2 linked regions of the Tamandua tetradactyla genome follow. The protein of the gene in region 1 purifies or fractionates together with the protein of each later gene. This does not show direct contact. Links are inferred from orthologs where the notes say so. Each region holds a gene or a part of one and is shown in the gene's direction. Other genes may lie near its edges.

The links. Proteins that work in one complex are often made in the same cells at the same time.
Region 2: the proteins of KAT2A (region 1) and TAF10 purify together in Homo sapiens (affinity purification with mass spectrometry; 8 studies listed by BioGRID and IntAct, with this or other methods). This does not show direct contact. The link is inferred for Tamandua tetradactyla from reciprocal best matches to the Homo sapiens genes KAT2A and TAF10.

The regions. Positions count from the first base shown.
Region 1 is NC_135332.1:25,120,263-25,127,629, forward strand, and holds the start of KAT2A (histone acetyltransferase KAT2A), read left to right. Parts: upstream 1-4,363; 5' UTR 4,364-4,421; coding exon 4,422-4,760; intron 4,761-4,898; coding exon 4,899-5,022; intron 5,023-5,367; coding exon 5,368-5,513; intron 5,514-5,613; coding exon 5,614-5,703; intron 5,704-5,969; coding exon 5,970-6,151; intron 6,152-6,245; coding exon 6,246-6,437; intron 6,438-7,326; coding exon 7,327-7,367. Other genes in the region: RAB5C (ras-related protein Rab-5C), read left to right, coding at 333-426, 959-1,074; HSPB9 (heat shock protein beta-9), read right to left, coding at 2,711-3,190. UniProt on the Homo sapiens protein: Protein lysine acyltransferase that can act as a acetyltransferase, glutaryltransferase, succinyltransferase or malonyltransferase, depending on the context.
Region 2 is NC_135334.1:80,052,835-80,059,634, reverse strand, and holds TAF10 (transcription initiation factor TFIID subunit 10), read left to right. Parts: upstream 1-4,791; 5' UTR 4,792-4,804; coding exon 4,805-5,036; intron 5,037-5,208; coding exon 5,209-5,363; intron 5,364-5,597; coding exon 5,598-5,662; intron 5,663-5,750; coding exon 5,751-5,865; intron 5,866-6,045; coding exon 6,046-6,135; 3' UTR 6,136-6,212; downstream 6,213-6,800. Other genes in the region: TPP1 (tripeptidyl-peptidase 1), read left to right, coding at 1-4, 177-375, 547-740, 973-1,037, 1,480-1,600, 1,711-1,869, 2,026-2,151, 2,331-2,471; scaffold protein ILK, read right to left, coding at 6,445-6,594, 6,770-6,800. UniProt on the Homo sapiens protein: The TFIID basal transcription factor complex plays a major role in the initiation of RNA polymerase II (Pol II)-dependent transcription.

The DNA.
Region 1 (7,367 bases):
ACCACATCCCTATGCTTTTGTCTAAATGCACAAGTGTATTTGTCTTGAAGTATTTCCTAGCCTTCTAATTTTGAAGAGCGAGAAGACAGAATGGACCTAAAGAAACCTGCTGATGTTCCTGAGCTCCCAGGACTGTAGGGGGAGTGGAGCAATGGGGGTGTGGTGCAGATGACCTGGGAGAACCCAGAGGTGGAGAGCCTTAAGCTGGAAAGCCCCTGCATTTGTCCAGCCAGTCTCTACTGTGATCAGGAAAGATTTCTATTTTGGGCCCCAGCCTCTGCCAGCTGCCAACATTTCCCTCCCACCCTCTTTCTCACCTGCATCCAAACCAGGAAGCACAAGCCTATGCAGATGACAACAGTTTGCTGTTCATGGAGACATCAGCAAAGACCGCAATGAATGTGAATGAAATTTTCATGGCAATAGGTAGGTTGCCTCTTGTGTCTTCCCCATCATGCACCACCACATGTCCATCGTTTGCCTGCTGTTCCATAGAAGGTCTGCGGGGGGGTTCCTTAACCAACTGGTCTTTTACCATTCTAATACTCCGGTAAAAGTTTCTCTTTCATCTCACTCCCACATGTAGGTCATTCACCCCAGAAGTTCCTATTGCCTGGAACAATGTCCAACATTTCATTCCCTGACTCTTTAGCTCGCTGCCCATTTCAGAAACTGCTATCACTATGCCCCCACTCACTTCTTAGGATTTTTTAGTTCATCAGCTTTGCGGGGTTCATATCCTGACTCTACCACTTAATTAATTCTGTAGCCTTGGGCAAGTTATTTCATCTCTCTCTGCCTCAGTTCCCTGAAACACTCATAAAACTGACACATGGAAGCCTTCAATAAGTTATCACTGATAAGGGAGTTAAGGGCCAGAATTCTACTCAGGTGGAACTGGAAGAGGGTATTGGGGTACCCTTCCTTCTCAAATGCATTCTTCTCCTATCCTAAACAGCTAAGAAGCTCCCCAAGAACGAGCCCCAGAATACAGCTGGTGCTCCAGGCCGGAACCGAGGTGTGGACCTCCAAGAGAACAACCCAGCCAGCCGGAGCCAGTGCTGCAGCAACTGAGCCCCCCTTGCCTGTCCACTGCCCCCACCTCCTCCGCCTGAATGACCCGACTGGAATCCACTCTAACCAATCGCATTTAACGACTCGGGCACCACTGGGGTGGGGGGCAGGGGGAGGGCTCTACCATGATTTCTCCATATACTTTTGATCATAGGCCAGAGTGAGTTATTCCACCCGCACCTTTCTGTACAATACTAATTCAATTTTAAGTCTTAAGTCACTTTTTTAATATATAAGATCTGCTCTTCCCATTTCTTCCCCTTTTTACTGCTCTCCCATTTTTCCTCTGCTGGTAGTAGCTCTCTGCTCCCGTTCCCCCCACCCATGTACCTGAGGGCAGGGGGTGGAGCAGTTACCCTCCCTTTCCTTCTTCAAGAGCATCCCCATCCTTACCTTGGGCTTGGTTTGGCATGGTGGGGAAGGCCACAGGGGTGAGGGAAGGGAGAGGAAGCTCTTCCCTCAGCTGGCTGACCTCAGGCTGCAGCCTACCCTTCTTCAGAGCAGGGAGAGGCACCATATTACCACAGTGAATTTTCACATGAATTATCGAAACAGCCACGAACCATCACCCCCATCCCACCCTCCTTGGTCACCCTGATCTCTGGCTTTGAAGCCCTCTTCTGACCAAATCACGATGATGAGTATTCAGGGGTGGGTGGGTAAGGGGGGGAGTGGGAGGGGATGGAACCAACTTTTTCTGTATTTTGTATTGTATGTTTTCTTCAACATGTAACCAATCAGTATCTTGTCAATATAGTCAGCCGATCGATCGACCTTGCACTTGTCTTCCTTGTCTTTCTCTGGCAGAGTTTATCAGACCGTGCCCTCTGGAATTTTCTTGAAGTGAATTTAAAATGAACCACTGAATCTTATCAAACAAAAGTGTGTTTTTTCCCTAATATGAGGGGATATTGGTGATCATGGTAACCAAGAGAAAGAGGCCCTTACTGTTACCAGCTCCAATGGGGCGGGGAGGGGTAAGACTGACATGGGGCTGAGTCTCACCAAGTTCAAAGTTCATGGTCCTGCAATTGCTTTTCCCTCCTGATTACACCTGGATGACATGTACTGTGTATTTGAAGATTTTGGTCTCTGAAACACCAGAAGCAACCGCTTGGGGGGGGGTGCTCTATAAGGGACTATGTCTTACCCTCATCCCTGAAGAGGAAGGAACATCGATAGTCTTTAGAATCCTGGACTAATCTTTAGGCCAATGCTGCAGTGGCTAGCTTCGCTCACCATGTCTGTCCTCCACAGCACCCATCCACACCCCAGGCTCAAGCTACACCCTCCCTGGTCTCAGGGACCTCTACTAGCTCTGGAGCCGGGTGGTTCTTGGGCCCTCTGAGCCCTCTGCTGCTCCCTGCTGGAGCTGCTGCTCTCTGCTGTGGAAAGCTGGAGGCTGCTGGTCCAGGCAGTGAACAGTGCTGCCCTCTTCAACTTCTCCCAAGGCCCCAGAGGCTGTGATTCTTGGTGGACCACCACCTTATAAGGTGCCTTTCCTGCCTGCCTGACTGAGCCCTTCACTTGGCATCCCTCGGCTTGTGCCTCTAGTCTCTCTACCCTGCCTTTGACCCCAATCCCCAGAAAAGACCACGGACACTAAGACTACTGTGCAACATGGCTGTTTACTGGCTCAGACTAGGTTAGTATCCTTCTTAGAGCCCTGGTCCCTGAGTCTCGGGGACGATCCAGTTTGGGCTTCAGAAGAAGGCAGTGAAGGGCCCTGGCCTCGGAAACACAGCCGGCCGGAGGGTGTCAGGCAGCAGCTCATGGAGGCTGGATCCACGGCAGACGGCAGACGCAGTTCCCGGTGCACCTTCCGCGCCATTCGGTAGCCCGCCCCGTCCGGGCCGTTGCCCTCCAGTTGTTGATGTCCAGTCACTGTCAGGGATCGGCCGTCCACCCTCACCACCAGTTCTTCAGGGGCGAAGCCGTGGGCGTCCACCTTCAGCTGGAAGCCGTCCTCTGCATGGTCATCTTGCGCAGCTGCCGAGGCGTCCCTGAGCAGCCGCACCGGCAGCGTGACCCCCTGATTTTGTTCAGCGAGGGCCACGCTGGGGCGCCGGGACGCCACCTGGTTCTCGTTGGACTGGCTGCTCCCGCCCCGCTGCATCCGACTGAGCAACTGCTGTCCAGGGGCGCGAGCGCGGAGCTCCAGGCGTGCCTACAGGCGCGGATGCCCCAGAGGGGAGGGGCTCCGGGGGGCTGCGCGTGGCTCCCCCCCTCTACTCCCCTCAGTTCTGTCCAGCTCGGTGCCCTTCGCTTCCGCACATCTCGGCTCCTCTGCAGCGAGGGTCGCCTTGGCAGAGCTCAGGGTCAGTTGTGCACGTCCTGCCTCTGAGGTTCAGGTGGACCGCCTTGGAGCTCCCGCTCCTGCCCCTTCCTCGGGTCCTCCCCCACTCTGCCAGGGATTCTGGGCGGCCGGGCTGTGACTGAAATGGATCAACAAGATGCTACACACACGGTTACTCTGGCCTGGACCGGCCAGGGGCGTGGACAGGAGAGCAGATTGAGCCGTTGGGCTGGAAGGTGGCACTCTTGGCCTTCTAAGAATAAGGCCTGAAGGGGAGAGGACTGATCTTGCGGAGCGTGACCTTCCCAGGGTCTTCCATTCTCTGCACATCCTGCCTTTTCCTGATGGCTCCAATGGTTTCTCGTGCGGACCAGGGTGTGCGGGTGGCAGACTCCTCCTTCTGCCTCTTTTAGCATCCATTCATGGAGTCTACGGTGCGGGAGACCAAGGGCTGGGCCCTGGGAACACAAAAATGAAGGCAGGGGCCCTGTTCCCCAGTTGCCCTCGGTCTGGAGAGGGAGAGTCCAGCTGTACCTAGACCGTATCCCTGTCTCGGCCTTCTTTATGACCGCAGCCATGCCTCTGGAGCTCTGTATTTTTATAATGAACTCTTTTTACTGAAAGAAAACATACATAGAGAAAAGTGTCTAAAAGAGTACCACTGATGAATAAAGGCAAATCACCCCTGCCATGACTACACAGCTCAAGAAATAGAACTGGGGCTCCCCAATTCCCCCAGGCAGGTTCCTGTTTTGTAGCATGCTCCTCCTTGTCCCCAAGAGGACAGTAATCTTGACTATCGCGGAAGCTTCCATGAGGAATTAGAAGTGAAGGAGGGATCAATCTGGGTTACTCACTCGGGCCTAAACTGGCTGTCGAGGACCAAGAGACAGGACAGAAAAGTCTGGAACCTGGTAGCAGAGCGGAGCGGCAATAGCCGACTACAACTCCCATCATGCTCCGGGGCAGTGGCGCCTGCGCACTGAGCGCCGGTTGCCCATGCGGCCCTAGGGCTGGGAGCGCCGCACCGCGCTCCGCTGCGGGGCAGGCCATGGCGGAACCTTCCCAGGCCCCGACCCCGACCCCGGCTGCGCAGCCCCGTCCCCATCAATCCCCAGCCCCTGCCCCAACTCCGACTCCTGCCCCCAGCCCAGCTTCGACCCCGGCTCCGGCTCCCACTCCGGCACCAGTCCCGGTCCCAGTTGCAACCCCAGCTGGGAGTACAGGGACTGGGGGGCCCGGGGTAGGAAGTGGGGGGACCGGGAGCGGGGGAGATCCGGCTCGACCTGGTCTGAGCCAGCAGCAACGCGCCAGCCAGAGGAAAGCGCAAGTCCGGGGGCTGCCGCGCGCCAAGAAGCTTGAGAAGCTAGGGGTCTTCTCTGCTTGCAAGGTGGGGGCGGGGCCTGGGGCGAAAGGGGCGGGGCTCGGGGCATCCAGGGCCTCCGATGCGTGTGGATGCAAGGCTCTGGCCGGGGAGTGGTTCCTTGCCCCGGGATGCCGGGTCAATGACTGATAATTCTATCGCCAGGCCAATGAGACCTGCAAATGTAATGGCTGGAAAAACCCCAAGCCCCCCACTGCACCCCGCATGGACCTGCAGCAGCCAGCCGCCAACCTGAGTGAGCTGTGCCGCAGCTGTGAGCACCCCTTGGGTAAGGCCGGCAGCGCCCTTATACCTGGGGACAGAGATGCTGCTGGGTCCTGCTTGGACAGATTAACTCAAGTGCCACAAAGACTCATCTCTGAAAAACCAAAGATGTCTCCTAAAGAGGGATGGGGTTGGGAGTGGGTATACCTCAAAGGAGGAGAAGGGAAATCTGCCAGTCCAGGAGGGGCAAGGGGCCTCCCCAGGGCCGACACAGGTGCAGTCAGTCTCTTTGGAGAGACTAGTTGGAGGGGCTGAAGGTGTATTTTGGCTGGCTATGAAGAGGGCTAGGAAGTCCCTGTTAATCTCTTCTTCCCATTGCTCCCAATTCTCCCACCTGTCCTTTTCGTAGCGGACCATGTGTCCCACCTGGAGAATGTGTCTGAGGATGAGATTAACCGGCTGCTGGGGATGGTCGTAGATGTGGAGAACCTGTTCATGTCTGTTCACAAGGAGGAGGACACGGACACCAAGCAGGTGTATTTCTACCTCTTCAAGGTGAGCTTCCTCCGGATGAGAGAGTGTGTGTGAAATGAGGCGAGGGGGTTCTGCAGCTCTGAGCTCTGCTGACCCGTACTCCCCCTTCCCCTCCCTCCAGCTCCTGCGGAAATGCATCCTGCAGATGACCCGGCCTGTGGTGGAGGGCTCCCTGGGCAGCCCTCCATTTGAGAAGCCTAATATTGAGCAGGTAGCATGGAGAAAGTGGTAAGAGGAGAATGGGAGGGGTGACAGCTTGGAGGAGTGGGGAGCCTGTGCTCTGCATGCTTCTCCAACTGAGTACAGGGAAGAGGTTCAGAGAAGAAAGGAGATTTTGTGCTAATCTCAGGGCTGAGGGGTGGGCATAATTTCTCTTTGCAGAAAGCCCCAGAGTGAAAGGAGAGCCTTGTCCCTGCCCTCGGGGAGCACCTGCTGGGTGCTCAGGCGGTGTCCCCTGTTTGTTTACCGCCTTCCCAGGGGGTGCTCAACTTTGTGCAGTACAAGTTCAGCCACCTGGCTCCCCGGGAGCGGCAGACGATGTTCGAGCTCTCAAAGATGTTCCTGCTCTGCCTTAACTACTGGAAGCTTGAGACACCTGCCCAGTTTCGGCAGAGGTCCCAGGCTGAGGATGTAGCCACCTACAAGGTCAATTACACCAGGTAGGCCCAGCCAGAGGCAGCCTGGGGGAAAGTGTGTAGGCCCAGTCTAGAGTCCATGGTTTCTCTTTTCACCTGCCGCATCCGTCCCCTGCAGATGGCTCTGTTACTGCCACGTGCCCCAGAGCTGCGATAGCCTCCCCCGTTATGAGACCACCCACGTCTTTGGGCGAAGCCTCCTCCGCTCCATCTTCACCGTTACTCGCCGGCAGCTGCTGGAGAAGTTCCGAGTGGAGAAGGACAAGCTGGTGCCCGAGAAGAGGACCCTGATCCTCACTCACTTCCCCAAGTAAGGCTTGTTCTGGCCCATCAGGATTCTGCACCTTTGCTGTTATTCCCTCTTCTCCAGGAAGGCTTCCGAGATTGGCCCCTCCTCTCCCTCCATGGGCCTTCTGGGCTCTGGATGTTTACTGGGCAGACTTGCCCACAGCCCAGATGCAACTTGCTAGTATTTGCCTTTGCATGTGCTTGTGTGGGGATAGCAGGTACATGGCACAGTGTTAATGCTCCCCCTCCTGCACCCAGGATAGACATTACTCATTGTTTCCCACGGGGCCTGGACACAGCCTCAGAGTCCTTCCTACCACAGCACTCCAAGAAACCAGAGCTTACACTTGAGGTGAAACTTCAATCCCTGTTCTAGTCCTTTCTGTAACACGTTCCCCCCTTCTGCCACACCTTCCTCCCATTTTAAACCTGCCTCACAACTCCCCTGTTTAAGAAGTCTTTACTTTCTAATCCTGACCCTCTCATGCCCCTTCTGCTGTCAGGGGAGAATAAAGTGACTGGAAGGGGCAGCCTCTGAGTCCTGTGTTGACAGCGAGGAGTTTGAGGTTCAGGGTGGCTTGGTGCCCTGCCTGGCCACACAGCCTAGAGTGGCATCAGCTTGGACCCTGCCTCCCTGTGCTGCACATCAGGGCAGGGAGTGGGCCCTTTGACCTCTGTCCTAGATGTGCCCATCTTCCACCTTTGATGGGGACTCCCAGAAGGCAGTGTACTGCACCTCCCTCCTCAGACTAGGGGTTCCCAGAAGGCAGAGGCTTTCTCCTTTCAGACTCCAAGCTCCCTGAGATCAGGGTCTGTCTCTCTCACCTGCCTCCTGCCCCTTTGGTGCCTGGCCTAGGGCTCCACCCTTGGTCAGAGGGAAGAGTGGTAGAACAGACTGTGCCCTCCCACAGATTCCTATCCATGCTGGAGGAGGAGATCTACGGGGTCAACT
Region 2 (6,800 bases), on another chromosome or scaffold:
CCAGGTGAGCCGTGCAGACAGCCCCAAGGTCCTCATGGCTTCCCCAAGGTGTCCTTGGTGACTTACTGCCTGGGGTTTCTTGCTCTCTGCCTCTGACCCCTAGGCTCTCATTCCCTGGCCTGTGATCTGGGACTGTGTCCTCTGACCCATGACCCCTGCTCTGACTCCCTCCATAGTTCCTGGAGCAGTACTTCCGTGAAGCAGACCTAACTGAGTTCATGCACCTCTTTGGTGGAAGCTTTGCACACCAGACATCAATAGCCCGTGTAGTTGGACAACAGGGCCGGGGCAGGGCTGGGATCGAGGCCAGCCTAGATGTGGAGTACCTGATGAGTGCTGGTGCCAACATCTCCACCTGGGTCTATAGTAACCCTGGTACTGCCAAGGGGCTGGTTGGTGGGGAAGAGGGTGGAGAGTGGGCATTGATCCCAGATGCCTCAAGGGACTCCCATGAGCTGAAGGGAGATCCTGACAATGCCCCCACCAATAACGACCTTTGTCCTCTCCCCCTGGCCCCTTATCCCCTACCCCTGCCCATAAATCCAGGCCGGCATGAGGCACAAGAGCCCTTCTTACAGTGGCTCCTACTGCTCAGTAATGAGTCAGCCCTGCCACATGTGCACACCGTGAGCTACGGAGATGATGAGGACTCTCTCAGCAGCAGCTACATCCAGCGGGTCAACATCGAGTTCATGAAGGCCGCTGCTCGGGGTCTCACCCTACTCTTTGCCTCAGGTGACCTCTTACCCTAACCTTAGATCCCTACCCAGCCAACCTGGGACCTTTAACCTTACAGTGATCCCTGAGCCTGATCTTTGAGTCATAACCTGAACTCAGACCCTCAGTAGGGACCATAGGTCTGACCTCTAGACTCTGACCTCCATAGCAATGACTGACACCTAAACTTCCACTCTGATTTCTGAACCCACAATGAAGGTCTAAGTGCTAAACTTGGTCTCTCTCCTAGGTGACAGTGGCGCTGGGTGTTGGTCTGTCTCTGGAAGACACCAGTTCCGTCCTAGCTTCCCTGCCTCTAGGTAAGTACCCCAGTCTACCACTTACCTGTGACCACCAGCCTCTCACCTGTGATCTCATGATGTAGAATCTTTGTCTTGACCTCACCAGGCCCTCCTATTGCTCAGCCCTTAGCTTTACCTCCCCTAGTTGCTACACTCCCTTCTCTTCTTCCTGTAGGTCCCTGGCCCCACACCTTCTGAGCGGGACACAACCCCCAAGTGTTCTTCCTCCCAGTCCTGAGGCATTTAGGGGAAGATTTGGCACATGTTCTGTAGAGAAATGTATGGCCAATCACCTGTGGCCATGTCTTGAGGGCCCAAAACCTCTTAGTCACCCCAAAGTACATCCTTCCCCATGGAGTCTAGCCCATCCAGCAAGATCTAGTCTGTACTCACCCACCCTCATACATCTTGGAGTTCCTCTTGAATTCCCTGTAACCTGAGGGCTGTCTTGTTCCCTCAGCCCCTATGTCACCACAGTAGGAGGCACATCTTTCCAGAATCCCTTCTTCATCACAGACGAGGTTGTTGACTATATCAGTGGTGGTGGCTTCAGCAATGTGTTCCCACAGCCTTCATACCAGGTATGTGTATGTTTGTGTGGATGGATAGGTGGTAGTGTTCGAGATCCTCACTAGTTCAGCAGACTAAAGGGCAGGCTACAGGCCAGTACTCACTCCACAATGCCTTTTAGGAGGAAGCGGTAGCCCAGTTCCTGAGCTCCAGCCCTCATCTGCCACCATCCAGTTACTTCAATGCCAGTGGCCGTGCCTACCCAGATGTGGCTGCACTTTCTGATGGCTATTGGGTGGTCAGCAACAGCGTGCCCATTCCATGGGTTTCTGGCACTTCGGTGAGAATCAGCCTGGGTCTAAATCTCCTCTCAGGAAACTGTCCTCATCCTGTACCCCCAAGACCTTATACTCAGAACCCCTAACTCCTTAGAGACCTCCCTATAAGTCCAATCTCTCTCAACCTCTGATTTCTACTTACACCCTCATACTTGTAGGCCTCCACTCCAGTGTTTGGAGGACTCCTGTCCCTGGTAAATGAGCACAGAATACTCAGTGGCCATCCCCCTCTCGGCTTTCTCAACCCAAGGCTTTATCAACAGCGTGGGGCAGGACTCTTTGATGTAAGTGTGGTAGGGAAGGGTGTGTGCTTTCATATGAGTATGGGGAATGGTAAGGTAAACTTGAGGGTAGTTCTGATGGGGTGGGGAAGTCTCAGGGCTGTGAGTACAGGGTGAGGATCTATACTATCTGGTAGTACTGGAACCAGCAGGTCCAGATCTGATGCCTACTTCCTCCCCAGGTGACCCGTGGCTGTCATGTGTCCTGTCTGAATGAAGAAGTGGAGGGTCAGGGCTTCTGCTCTGGTCCTGGCTGGGATCCTGTGACAGGCTGGGGAACACCTAACTTCCCAGCTCTGCTAAAGACATTACTCAACCCCTGACCTTTTCCTGCCAGGAGTTCTGGCATGTCCCCTGCCCTGCAACCAGTGCTGGGTCTCTTATTCTGCACTGTTGGAAACCCTGCTGAACCCTCAACTGTTGACTGCTGCAGACAGCTTTCCTCCCTAACTCTGCAAGGCTGTGAGTTTGACTTGACTTCCAATCCTCCCTTGTTCCGTCATACTTAGGTCTCCCTACTCCTGCCTCAGGTTCCTCTGCAAGATGCTATAACCAGAACTTTTGGGGATGCCCCATCTCTTCTAAACCTGACTTTTCCAAAGGTTGTCCACAATATGTGCACTTTTTCATGTTCATTCAGCCCACTGCAATGAATCCTCTGCTTTAATGGGTTATTCTATCCTCCCCTGACAGTGGGCTCACCGTGAAACAATGGCCTCCTTGCTGCTTCATCTTTGCTTTATGGGCTCTCTATCACCATTACCCACTCCCTCTCCTTCCTTAGCTTCCAGGACTTAACTTCTCCTTCTCTGACTACTCCTGTCTTCTTCAATCATGGACTTCTCTTTTCTGCTTACTCATTGAATACTGGTGTTCACCATTGCTCCATCCTTAGTTTTTTGCTCTGCTCACTGTACCCATTGTCCCCTAGAACAAATCACTGGAATCTCAGCCATCACTGTCTCACTAAATCAGCCTCTACCCAACAGTGATTGATACCTCAAATACAAGATGTATAATATTCAACACTTCATCTTCCTCCTTGCCAAATCTGAACTGTTCCACCTCTTTATTTTCTTCTTGGTGATTCCTACTATGCCCCCTCCAAGCCAGAAACCTAAGAGTCATCCTACACTCCCATTTCCTTTACCTTACCTTCCCCCTACCTTCAATCAACAAGTCCTACTGACTTTACCTTGTAAGTATGTCTACATCAATCCATAAATTTTGCCAATTGTATTTCCTAAACATATCTGGAACTCATCCATGTCTCTCCATCTCCACTGCTACTTTGTTAGTTGAAGACTTCTCTCTCTGAACAGGAGGCCCTTGCAAAAACAGTGTCCACACTTCCTGCCCTTCCTAAACTTTTTTGAGAATATGCATATGCGATCAGGTCATACTTGATCAAAACCCTTTAAAGATGACTGGATAAATTTCAGGCTTTTTATCATGGCTTGCAAGACCTGATCCCTTCCTTTTTTGTTATTTGTGGCTGACGAACAAATTGATTATCTTCCCCTTGCACAATAAACTCCCTCTCCCCAACCTTTGCTCAAGCTGTTCTCTTAGACCTTTGCCTGGTAAATTTCCAGGATTCTTTCAAGACTCCACACTTGGAATTCACCTTCTCTTATGAAACTGTTCAGTTGCCTGAGATTCAGTTAGATGAATTTGGTATAGAAAAACAAAAACAAAAAAACCCAGATTTTTGTAATCAATCCATTAAATTCTTGATTCTGGTATGTACTATCAAAAGGCCTTAGGTAAATACTTCTATTTCTCTGAGCCTCTCAGAATAATCAGGGAATAAGTGGGATAACGTTGATAAAATGCCTGGACACTGGAGTAGGCAGCAAATATTAGTTCCCTTCCTCCTTTGCACTGCACACCCTGTGCCTACCTCTACTATTGTAAGTACCACATGGTAATGAAATTGCCAGTTTCCTTGTTTGTCTCGCTTTCCAAGACCGTCGGTGCCTAGAGGACTAGAATCTTGTCCTACTTAAAGTTGAATTCCCAGGCTCTAGCTCAGGGGTTGGCAAATAGAATTCAGTAAATGCTTGTCGAATTGAAAACCTCGCGCTTTCTCTGGCTTTGATTTGCTTATGTCATTTGCTCGAGGCCGAAATAACGCTCCTCATCTACTGGAGCATTGTGTCCCGCCCTCCTGCTTCTGCACTTCTCTGGGCAGTTGGCGAGACAGGGGACGCGGGATGCTCTCCCACTCCACTACGATCTCTTAAAATCTGAATGAGGGCTCCAGAGGGAAAGCAGATTGGCAGACAACCTGTGGTCGAGGGTATCTGGCCGATGCAATATTTTGGGAGCGTCAGCTGAATGGAATGTCCCCAGACCAGCACAAGAGAGTCCCGGAAATACAGTGGTTGTTTTCCCGGCGGAACTGTCTCGGAGTACCGCTGAGTGGGAGAGCAGGCTGGCCCCGGCCTGCGCAGTTCTCCAGGTATTGGCCTCCGCTCTTGCGGACAGTTCACCTAATTGGCCAAAGAGAAACAACCTAAGGCCGGAGACCCGAGGGAGAGAGCAAATATGCTGTGGGAGGAGCGAGTTGTGAAGCGTGTGACATCACCCTGGTGTGTGCGTAACGTGGGCGGAAGCGGAAGCTGCTCTGTTCGCCGCCTCTCTCACCGGCCCGATGAGCTGCAGCGGCTCCGGCGCGGACCCCGAGGCGGCGCCGGCGTCCGCCGCCTCGGCCTCGGGTCCGGCACCCACTGCCTCGGCCTCAGCAGCGCTGCCTGCCAGCGCCGCCGCGGAGAGCAAGGGCAGCCCCGCAGGGATAGCAGGGGGCCCTGGGGCTGGAGCCGCGGCTGGGGGCTCGGGACCCGTGGCGGCGCGGGCTGGAGAGACGGCCGAGAGGCGCGGGGCGAGTGAGGGCCGGGCCGGGGCGGGTGAGGGTGAGGGAAAGCGCCTGGGGCTGGGTTCAGAGGCGAGTAAGGGTAGAGGGCACAAGCGTCTGCGACCCAGCGGCGAGTAAGGGGACAGGGTACTAGGGTCCTGCACGCCCCCACCTCCGTTTTCACTTTGTTGGTTCTCCGCTAGCTCCTGTGTCGGCGGGCGGCGCGGCGCCCCCGGAGGGTGCCATGTCTAACGGAGTTTACGTACTGCCGAGCGCGGCCAACGGAGAGGTGAAGCCGGTGGTGTCCAGCACACCTCTGGTGGACTTCCTGATGCAGCTGGAGGATTACACGCCTACGGTGGGCTTCCCGCCTGAACAAGGCCACTTGGCCTACTGTCATGCCAACCTTTGCCATGAATTACTTCCCCAGTGCTTTCCTGTGTTTGCTGCCCTCCTCTTATGATCAATCCCCTCTCCCCTTCCTGTGAGCTTCCTGATAACCAGCCCTGTTCTCCATTTCCCTTGCCTTCCCTCATTCTCAGCCCAACAGAGCTCAAGGTTAGCAATGACAGTTGTCTAATTGATTTCTCAGATCCCAGATGCAGTGACTGGTTACTATCTGAACCGTGCTGGCTTTGAGGCCTCGGACCCACGCATGTGAGTAAACACTGGACAAAGTAGAGTTCTGGGTGCTTGTATAGAAGTTGTTTCCCATCTCCTTTTCATACCAGTTTTTTCTCTCTAGAATTCGGCTCATCTCCCTAGCTGCCCAGAAATTCATCTCAGATATTGCCAATGATGCCCTACAGCACTGCAAAATGAAGGGCACAGCCTCCGGCAGCTCCCGAAGCAAGAGCAAGGTGTGAGGGGAGGCTCACTGAATCAGTAATTATCCTTCACAGCCTTGGAGGCTTAACTTATCCTGAAACCCTTTAGGGAAACCAAGTCCTAGGGGAGACTTAAGACCTACTCAGGGTCACCACCTGGGATTGAAATCTGAGATTCTTGTGCTCAGCTGGTGCTCTTCCCTTTCCCCTCAGGACCGCAAGTATACTCTAACCATGGAGGACTTGACACCTGCCCTCAGCGAGTATGGCATCAATGTGAAGAAGCCGCATTACTTCACCTGAGCCACCCAACCTAAATGTATTTGTCCCCATATCCCCACACCAGCCTGTTTTCATAATAAACTTTATTGTGACAGGCAGGCTGATCCCTCCCATGCTGGGAGACACCGTGTGGCAAGTGACAAAGCTCTGAGCCCAGCCTCTTTTGGGGCCACAGTAACAGGGGCGTGGGTAGGGGATGGGCCCCATGGCTGGGGTAGTACCATGACTGGAGACAAAGGAGGCAACCAGAGGCCTGCTGCTTTGGGGAGGGGCACTCCCCCAACTGTGTCCTGACACCCCTGGAGTTTTTTAGGGAAGGACTTTCCAGCCCTACTTGTCTTGCATCTTCTCCAGAATAGGCACAATCATGTCAAACTTAGGTCGCTTAGCAGGGTCTTCATTCATGCAGATCTTCATGAGCTTACACACATGAGGGGAAATACCTGGTGGGATGGTAGGCCGAAGGCCTTCCAGTGCCACCTGCAAATAGAAGGACAAACAAGGTAAACCTCACAATTTCAGTGTCGTGGGGAAAGGCCTATTGGGACAGGATTACTGTATATCTGAACAAGTCTGGGAACAGCCCAGACCCACCACAGTTACTGCCATCACCACCATCATCCCCCAAGACAAGTGTATGTGGCTTTGTTCCCACCTTCATGCCAATTTCCATGTTGGAGAGATCA